2 linked regions of the Caenorhabditis elegans genome follow. The protein of the gene in region 2 purifies or fractionates together with the protein of the main gene of each other region. This does not show direct contact. Each region holds a gene or a part of one and is shown on either strand. Other genes may lie near its edges.

Region 1 (6,333 bases), on a different chromosome or scaffold from region 2:
AGTGGTTGAAAAAACATTTGGTTAGTTTTCAAGATTAAAAAAAGAACTGAGTAACTTATTCACCATTAAAGATTAACATTTTTTCAAAAAATGAATTATTTTTATTCTTGCTAATACATTTTTTATGAAATCATAAATTAAAAATGATTTCGTATTTTCAGTACCAATTAAGATTATTTGAGTATTATGATTTATTTATGGACCGGAACTTTCTCTTTTTACGGGAAACATTAATTTTGATTACACAGGTGTTAGCAATGGGTCTGACAGCAACTTTTCTTTCGATCAAAAGAAACATATGAATGAAATTTTTGCGTACGCGTAACACCAATACACGCTGCGTTTTTGGGATGGCAGTGACGCAAGTAGGAAAAGAATTGCTACAACCGGATTCTGTCCAACGCGGAGGATGAAGCCTCCCAACACATTTTGAGAACACTCAATTCCATCTGTACGGCAATACGTTTCGAATTTTTAATTCGACTTTTTTTTTAAATAAAACTTTCGACTTTTTTATACATGTGCTTACTTTGAATTATATATGTTTTATTTGAATGTTTGTAGTGTGTTCGCATTAAAAGTTTTAAAATATTATCTGAAATTGACTCATATTCTGTTTGTTGTAATCACTGTTGTTCTATTAATGAATTTGCCTAAAACATATAAAACATCCGACAGCGTCATTTTCTTTGTCTAACAAGTCTCCTTGCAACATGACACATTTGTGACGTTTTTCACTAGTTTACAATCTCTAAAAGATCATATCCAAATTTAGTTACATGGGTTTTCAATTTTAGACCTATTCTACATCACCTACCAGTTATTGATAATATCACTGACACAAAAAAGTTCGCAACAATTGCAGCAATATCTATTTGCAAAGGATACAAAAATCATATTACAAAAATTCAGTACAAATTTGGTGATTCAGTAAACTAATCCCATCTGTAGCCTGCTTCCAATTAAAAACTTTATAATCTTATCTATCCAATTCCATTATCTTTTTGTAGCTGTGATTTTTGAAGAATGTCGTTTTCCAGAATTGAAATCGGTTTTTTTTGCAAGATTTGACTGCTTTGCACTTTTTCTGAATCAGAAATTAGTAAATAATTTCTACGTGACTACCAGTTGTACTGCCATTTCTTTGAAGTGGACCAGAAGTGCAACACACTCTAAATTCCAATATGTGGCCAGATAATAAAGATAACACTGTGATCTTTCATACCTCCAGTCACTTTGCCCCCAATTTTTTTCGTCACCTTTCCTTTTTCGTGTTTCTGTTTTATTTCGCCACGTACATTCATTCTACCACCACATTTGTTCTATTTGAACTAAACTAGGATCCACTTGCCCTGTCTGTGTGGGTGGTGTCAAAAGTAGGTCAGTTATTTCCAAAGCAACATTGCCTCCGGTAGGATGAGGGTGACGATTGGGTGTTCGTCGCTGCGCTCATTTTCCGAAAGCAAAAGTCTTTCTGTGAGGTACTTGTCGGTGTTTGCCTGTAAATTAATTTGCATAGAATACAGCTGTGAAACCAATCGGATACACCGATGAGTTTCGGAGATGTCAAAGTGGAAGATTACATCGCATTTGTTCTCATTACCTACAATCGCTTCCTCTCATTTTTCCTTTCACATAAATTTTGACACCCTCCATTGGACAGAACTTCTATAAAGAATTTGGATTTTATATAATTTTTTTTTAACTTATATAATTTTTGGTCAAATTTCATTTTTCTCGGTTTTTCGACGGACCATTCCCCATATTAGTAGTATTCCCTTAATTTTTTTTAGACTTTTTTGCTAAATTCGGATATTAATAAAGATGTATATAATTTTTGCAAATTTGAACCTAACATAGAGTTGAACACAAAATATATAAAGTCAAAAATGTACAAAGTTTTTATTGACTCTATTTAAAAAAGTTTACCCGTTTGATTAAGACTATAAAATCTTAATTTATGTTTTAATATTTTATTCTTCAAGAAATAAAACACATTATGGAAAATCGATATTTAAACACAAATTTAAATGCCAAAATGTAGTTCATTATTGAGTTTACGGTGCTTACAACTGTGACTACCCACAAACTCCAAAAATGCACAAAAAGTCACATTGATTATACCTATATGTTATCAATTTTTATCTTAAACACTTTCATTATTTTATTTTTTTGTTTGACGTCCCGCTTATTGTGCATGATAAAGTATACAATTTCATTTCAGGTGTAGCTATGGAGTGGCTATACTGGCTATACTGGTTGTTAGTCCTTTTATTCTTTGGATACTCATTCTATCTCCTGCATATCCCACTTCCCCATGACATATCCGACAGGTCGAAGTTGACAATCGCTGAGTTTCTGATGCGTCTTTCTAATGAATACTTAGTAAGTTATATTTTTAAATTTTTATTTTAAAATAAACGCAACTAATTTAGGGAGATTTGATCGAAAATGTTTTTGGGCCAGAAGTTCGAAATAAAGTTACCAGATTTGTCATGGGAGTAGGGTTCCTCATCCCTACGTTGCCACCCAAAAGAATGATTGTAAGATAAAACAATTTGGTATACATGTAATCTTTTAATAATTTCAGAGAAAACGAATAAGAATCCAAGGAGTTAGCTGCATTGCTTACGAAATTGAGAAGCCACAAAATGATGGGTTGCTTATTTTTATTCACGGTGGTGGATGGTGTGTGGGAGAAGCTCGTAAGTTTTTTTTTTCTGAAAATGCTTAGCTGTTCAAAAAATTTAAATCATCAAAATTTGAATTTTTCAAACCAAGAGGCTTTAATCTGTGAATTTTATTTCAAAGCACTGGAACAAAACCGTTTCGTGAAAAAAACAAAAACTGCTGACTCAGAAGTGGGAATAAGTGTTCTTTAGAAAACAATTGTATTCATTTTGTGACATATTCTTCTCAATTTTAAAATTTGGTACTTAAAATTAGGGGTCAACTTGAGTCTATTCGAAAAATAATAAAATTAGGTATACCAGGCCGATTTGTGTAATTTCAAAAATCGGATAAGCCGATTTCCAAATAATTATTGGCAAAAACTGAAATTGTAGTATTGTTAAAATTGAATCAATTTTTGTTTACATTCAAACCTGTTATTCATTTATTTAAGGTTAAAACCGATAGAAAAAATTTCAAATAAAAATCAATATAAAAAAGTTCTTTTTCCAGACTATTTTCAGTGTTTGAGGATTATTAAAGGTGGAATAGCGCCATTGGGGAAATTGCTTTAAAACACGACTATGGTACCACAATGACCGAATATCATGATAAAAAATTCAAAAAACTTTTCTAAACTTTATATGATGTTTTGAAAATTGGAAAAATCTCAGTTTTTGCCAAATTCCGATTTGAATTTCCGACAAGAATTTGTTCGACGGAGCGCACTTGCACGTTTTTATTTTTATTTATTGTTTTTTTTTCTCATTTTCCACCGATTTTCTATGTTTTCAGAGTATTTTTGCATGAATTTTGAAGAACAATTCAAAATAAATGCAAATTTTCGGTTTAAAAGCTACTTTACAAGCGTAAATCTGTGAAATTAATTAATTAAGGTTTGAAATCGTGTAAATGCGTTTTTTAAAGATTTTTTACGCCTGTACGATTGCTTTTTAATCGAAAATTTGCATTTATTTTGAATTGTTCTTCAAAATTCATGCAAAAATACTCTGAAAACATAGAAAATCGGTGGAAAATGAGAAAAAAAAACAATAAATAAAAATAAAAACGTGCAAGTGCGCTCCGTCGAACAAATTCTTGTCGGAAATTCAAATCGGAATTTGGCAAAAACTGAGATTTTTCCAATTTTCAAAATGCCATATAAAATTTAGAAATTTTTTTTGAATTTTTTTATCATGATATTCGGTCATTGTGGTACCATATGTGTGTTTTAAAGGAATTTCCCCACTGGCGCTACCCCAACGTTAAAACTTAAATATTCAAAAATAAGAAGACTTCCGTAATCTTTCTTCAAGTCAAAAAAAAACTTTAGGTTATTATGATGGAATCATGTACCAGCTTTGCGAACAAATTGGGTGCAATGGGATATCTATTGACTACCGTCTCGCTCCAGAACACCCTTTTCCAGCCGGACTTGATGATTGCCATGCGGTGGTATCTGAAGTTTGCACAAATGGGTTTGTTCTTCAATTGCATAGTTATTTAAAAACTTTTAAGTATGTTTTATTCCAGATTGTTGGACCTCCCTTTCAACAGAAAACGAGTCTTGATTTCCGGAGATAGCGCAGGAGGGAATCTGGCTGCAGTTGTATGTCAACGATTGCATCGGGAGAAGAAGGACATCCTGAAGGGACAGATTCTCATCTATCCAGTCACGCATGTTTTCAATTTCACTAGTCCGTCATATCAAGATTATTGGAAGTCATATGCTGGAACTGCACTGCTCAATCCAAAGCATATGGCAAGATGGATTCTGTTATATCTTGGTATTGAAGCATCAAAAAATAACATCAAAAAGGTGATGAATTCTCAACATGCACTACCGTAAGAAACATCTTTTAGAGATTTTCAGTATTAAAATTGAGCATTTTTCCAGTGAACTCGCAGAGCAGAAACCATATTCTCAATGGCTTTACCATCTAAACAAAAGGAAACCAGAAAAGCTGGTTGATCAACATCTTGCCAAACAGTTCATAAAACTAGGAACTAATCCAGACGTGTCACCAGTGTTTGGCGATACTGAAGGATTACCACCAGCGTTAGTGCTCACTGCGGGATATGACGTACTGAAGTGAGTTTTTTTTACTTGCAATGGAAAAATTGTAGGAGGAAATTTTTAAAATTGTGTGTTATGGAACCGTTGATATAACTAGTGGAATGATTAACTAAAGGCATCTTTATTTAACTCTAACAATAAATGGACCAGTCGAAAACTAACTGCGTTTGAGAACACAACATTATGTCATCCCAAAATTTTTTTGAATTTGAATAAATTTATTTTGAAATGATGTTCACTCTTTGAAAATAATTTCACTTTTTGAAATCAGAAAAAAATTCTTATCCGAAAATCTTGTTAAAAATGCAAGACTACATGAATACGTTATTGCAAAAATTACTTTACAAAAACGATATTTGCATTGTTCATTGTATATAGTTTGAATGCAAAAATGTTTCATTGGTCATTTTTAAACTTCAGACCATAAAACTTGATTTATTAGAAGTTATTTAGAAACTAAATAAACATAACAAAAAATTTGGAAAAAAAAACACTTCGTTTAAACATCGAGAAAGAGAATATGAACATTTTTGCTATAAATTTTGAAGCCTAAACTCGTATTATTCCCATACCAACTTTCACATAAAAAACTATTATCATTTACAGAGACGAAGGAATCCAATATGCGAACAAACTGAAAAAATCTGGGGTTTCAACGGAGTGGCGTCATTATCCACGAGCATTCCATGGACTTTTCAACATGCCTAACAGCAAAGATCGAAATGAAATGATGAAAGCAACTGTTGATTTTGCAAAATCAGTTATCTAGATCAATGTCGTTACCATTTTTCACAATTTTATCTGGTTTTTTACATTTTAGAATATCATGTAGTCGTTTAGTTGTCCCATTTTTCATTATTTTTAACTTTCTCCCAGTCACTTTTACATGGTCGTCCAATCGGTGTTCTCAATGCGCAATCTAGTCATTTGTTACCAAATTGTTAATTTTTCCTTTTCCTGCCTTTGCTTTTCCGCTGAATAAATTTTTATTGATTTTGGGTGTGTAACAGGGTAAAAAATAATAAAATTGTTAGATGAAAAATGTGAAAATTCGAACAAAAAGTTTAAAACCCGATTAATATAAGCCTTATCTAAATATAAGATAGGAACGGGTTTTCAGGCTGGACGTTTTCTTCTTGGAATCCGTTCAAAAGTTGCATGCTCTGCTCAATTGTTGATGGTAACGGTTCAATTAGATTAGCATCTTTTTCTTCAACGATACTCCAAACCTCTGAAAAATACAATGTGAAGCACACGTTTAAGTAGTTGGAAATGAAACTGTGAGCAATCAGGGGAAAAATGTTCGCATTAAACAATTTCAAAACTTTCATTCTCACGATAAGTAAACTACTTCATTCTCACGATAAGTAAAAACTTATGATTTTAGAAAACAAAACCGAATTATGGCGTGTTTACTTTTAAGACTGCGCAGTAATAAAAAAATTAGCAATAACGTGCAAAAAAACTAACTAGGGAGTTATTCAACCATACGGTGCGATCGGGTAAAAGTAAACGTGTTATGCGATAGCTGGCATCTTAGGCTTTCAGAATCTGTAATTTGTTTCGGCGGAAGACCTCTGTGAGTC
Region 2 (4,160 bases):
GGGAGTGAGCTGGCTGGGACAGAAATCTCCAATTTCCAGTCTTCTGGCACAAATTTTTGAATTGGGAAACCGATTTTCAATCTTTTCCTGGAACATAGCTGCTTTAATACGAAAATGGTCGATTTCAAGCTTCGGAATCGCTAGAAAATCTTCCAGAACGCGTAGAATCTCATTTAAGGAATTCCTAGAAATTCGCATCAGCACAGGATTTTTGAAGTTATTCGTGCAATATCCTCCGAGGCCGGTGTTCCGTGTCGAGCACCAACACTCGCTGTGCAGATGAATCCAATAGGAATTGTTGTAGATCGATAGTTCAACATGCTTGAAACAGGGATCTCTGTTATCTAGGAAATTCCTCAATTTTCGGCAGACTTTTCGCAGGACAAGTCTGAAATTTTTCTTGCAATTGGTTGAAAAATGGCTGAAAAATGGCTGAAAAAATACCGATTGATCGGATCCACGTTGTCCATAATTTCATGAAGCACTCTGTTTGGCATGTCGAATAGTGAAGGAGCATCGGACCTGGAAGCTGGGAAATTTTGAACTTAAAAATCATTTAAACGAACGATTTTTTCGAATCCAACTCAATCGTCAATTTTTCTGCCATTTCTCGAGTGTTCTGGGTGAAATCCGTGGTTTTCTGAAAAATAAAGTGTTAAATTTCATTGAAAAATGCAATTCAAGTCGTACTGAACCGATCCTCATCACACACGATGACAAATTGAACGTCGTTGCTGCTGTAGAGAATGGCATTGGGCCCGGTATGCACGTATGCCGGGTCGAAGACTTTTCCGATAGCTTCGTAATCATAATCCGGAAGTTTGATGAGACCTTCTTCGAAGAGCGTCGATTTTGTGAGAATCTGAATGTGAAAATGTGATTATTGAAGAGTAGTCCGCTTTTTTTTGCACTTACATCTCGAATTTGGATAGCTTCTTTCTCTGAAAAAGTTTCCTTAGCAATTTCGAAGCGCTTCGAATGCATCACATGATCGATCTGAAGGTGAATCTCTGACACCGTATTCGTTTCGATATCTATCGCCTTCTTCCATGATTCCAGATTGACAAGTTCGTCGACTGGTTCCCGATTCTCCTCAATTTTGTATCTAGAAATGTGGATTCGTTCAACTTTTCCCGGTTTAAAGCGGGAAACCATCGATACAATTGCCGGCATGATCGTTTCACGAATAATGAGCGTTTCCACTTGAAATTGGATTTTCACACCGTTCAGAGCATCGGCGATTTTCACGGAAATCTCTCGACGGAGGCGATTCTTAATTTCAAGTAAGGGATCATCGTCATGAATTTCTTCGAATTCGAGTGGGTGACCGTTCAATGAGACAGCCAATCTCATTACTTCAAATTGACTTTTCGGATTGTCCATCAGCTGAGCCAAATCGTTCACCGCCGCTTTCACATAGCTGATTCCTTCGATTTTAGACGATTTTCCGCCCAAGACCACATTACAACTGCCATCATCTTGACTGATGTATTTAATCTTGTCACAATCTGGCCACCTGGGCCTGTCAATTTGAATCGATGCGAATGTCGGACGAACGGTTAGCGAAACTTCCTTGTAGCCATGTTCTCTGGCTTTTGTGATACTTCTCAGGTTTTGAGACACTTTTCGAAGAACTAATCTGAAAAGACTGTGATTTTCAGCAGATTTTCAGCTTTAAACTAACCTATCAATTGGCTTAACATTATCCAAAACTGTATCAACAATATTAAGCGGCATATCGGTAAGTGTCTTACTCTTCGGATTCCAACTGAAATTTAAATTTAATTATAATTTTATAAAATCCTGTAATTTCACAACTGATTTACCAAATATCCTCATTCAAATCTTCACATTCGACTCCAATTTGATGGTACCAATAATCGAATTCCCGATATTCTATCACATCATTTCCAATTGCTTCACAGAAATTTCCGAATGCTTTCAGAGTTGGGGTTCCTTGTAGAAATTCGTAGAGAATGCACAATTTGATCGCTTTTGTGTCATTTCGAATAAGATCCGATTTAGTTAATGGAGCTCTGGAAGGAAAATTTGAAATTTTTGAAAAAAAAACATGTTTTTTGAAGCTTTCACCGGTGAGCGGTGAGTAAAACTATCATTTTGATCGAATCCAACTCCTCCATTTTCCGAGTTATTTGGTTGTACTATTCTGAAAAACAAGCAAATTAAATTGTTGAATTTGACTGAAAAGTATACTAAAAAATACAAGAAGACGGTAGAAGAAGACAAACCAAACAAATCGCCGAAAACTTGCTTATACTACAAACTACAAACACTTTTGTGGCATTAAAAACTTATTTTTCCAATAATTTCAACAAAAAAACAAGTAATTTCGTGAATTTTCAATAAAAAAGAGATAAAAACTGAAATTCGAATTAATGTTTGCTCATCAATTAATCGTGTATTGCGTACATCGCCGTCTACCGTAGTACGAAAAAAAATCTGCATTTTTCAATCAATTTTTTCAGTAAAAATGTTAAATAAAAAAGGTATTTAATCGAACAATTCATCATAAAACTTATTAATACAATAATTTCAACAACGAGTGCTCATTTTCATATTAGAAAAAACAATAACGAAGGAAATTTAACAGGAGTTTTCAAAGCTTTGTGATTTTGACGTATCCGCCATACGTGATCATAATTTTGAATTGATTAATTCTGTATTCAACGTAACGATTAATATTTAATACCAGCCGCTGACCGCGCCTCTGGCGCGGACATCGACTGGCGCAGTTTCAACATCTTTATAACTCAAATCAACAAACCCCAGTACCCCGACTATATACTTCTAATTTTTTTTCCGGTTCTGGAACATTCCAGAATTTTCTCGAATTTTCCAGAAGGTTCTGTAACATTCCAGAAATTTCCGGAAATTTCCAGAAGGTTCTGGAACATTTTATAATTTTCCCGAAGTTTCCAAGATCACTTCAAAAGACGAAAAACCAATTTTTCCCAAACTACAGTAATCCTACAGTAGCCCTACAGTACCCCTACAGTACTACTACACTACCCCGACCATGTCCCGCCACTAACCTCAAACCAATATTCCTTCAACAGCCTGAAACACTTTGCAAGTGTGACGTCATAGACTACAAACTACAATTGTAACATCCTCCATGTATTTTTTTATATATATAAGTAATGATTTTCTTAACGATGAATGTTTTCGTATAGTCGAAATTAAAACTGATTTTCAGTAAACTTTGGTGTTTAACTTGAAGGTTTAAAAGTCCAAACCATTTATTTTTGAAAATCAAAAAAAAAACAATGTTTTGTAACACGGAAGCATTTCTGATAAATTATGTGATCATCATCACCAGAATTGTACCTTATTTTTGCTCTCCAGAACAAGGAACGGAACGCCTCCAATTATGAATGTAATATGAAGAAATCAAAACAGATACAATTTTCTCACCGTTTGCAAGAATTGTTGTTATTGCCCGCCGGCTATAATTCATTATTACACAACACGGAAATAATAATCAAATGCAGTATAAATTGATTTCTTCCAGGTGGGAAAAATTTAGATTCCGCAATGAATCGTCTGTTGGAATATGGTAGTGTTGAAGCTATACCCTATTACAACTGCTCCCATAAAAATTTCACGGAATGGGAGAAGACTGGACAGAAACGACCGTATTTTGGATGGCCATTGGTCGTTTTTGGGGTCCTCGTGGAGTTGTTGTACATTCCTGTTATCTATATTATATTTAAAACCAAACTTATCAGACATCCGTGCTATAAAATAATTGTTCTATTGGCTCTAATTGATATGAGTGCAACTTGCTGCAGTTGTCTTTTTACCGGGTCTATGCTGATTATGGGAACCGTGTTCTGCATGTATCCAACGTTTACTTATGTGGCTGGAGGAATTGCATTAAGTGAGTCTTTTAGATTAAGTGAACATTTTAAATCTCTTCTATTTTCGAACTGTCAACGTCTCCTGGATCGGTATTATGCAAATTTTATTCTAATGAAAAAAAAAATCATCAGAATAAATTTTACCGAATATATATTCTAGTAGCTTATAAATTTTTCAGATACCTGGTGCATGGCGTGTGCAGCTACCATGTCCCTATTTTCCAATCGGATAATAAGTATTGGCTTCAGGAAGTATGCAGATGTAATCGAGAAGAAACT

The links.
Region 1: the proteins of fbxa-194 (region 2) and F16F9.4 fractionate together in Caenorhabditis elegans (co-fractionation; one large-scale study listed by BioGRID). This does not show direct contact.

Annotation. Positions count from the first base shown.
Region 1 is NC_003284.9:8,459,230-8,465,562, reverse strand, and holds F16F9.4 (Alpha/beta hydrolase fold-3 domain-containing protein), read left to right. Parts: upstream 1-2,202; 5' UTR 2,203-2,232; coding exon 2,233-2,385; intron 2,386-2,435; coding exon 2,436-2,543; intron 2,544-2,590; coding exon 2,591-2,705; intron 2,706-4,003; coding exon 4,004-4,148; intron 4,149-4,203; coding exon 4,204-4,515; intron 4,516-4,567; coding exon 4,568-4,762; intron 4,763-5,353; coding exon 5,354-5,516; 3' UTR 5,517-5,742; downstream 5,743-6,333. Other genes in the region: F16F9.3 (EF-hand domain-containing protein), read right to left, coding at 5,839-5,978.
Region 2 is NC_003283.11:19,776,568-19,780,727, forward strand, and holds fbxa-194 (F-box domain-containing protein), read right to left. Parts: upstream 2,142-4,160; coding exon 2,092-2,141; intron 2,037-2,091; coding exon 1,827-2,036; intron 1,769-1,826; coding exon 1,685-1,768; intron 1,640-1,684; coding exon 916-1,639; intron 863-915; coding exon 680-862; downstream 1-679. Other genes in the region: fbxa-118 (F-box domain-containing protein), read right to left, coding at 1-388, 445-522, 567-607.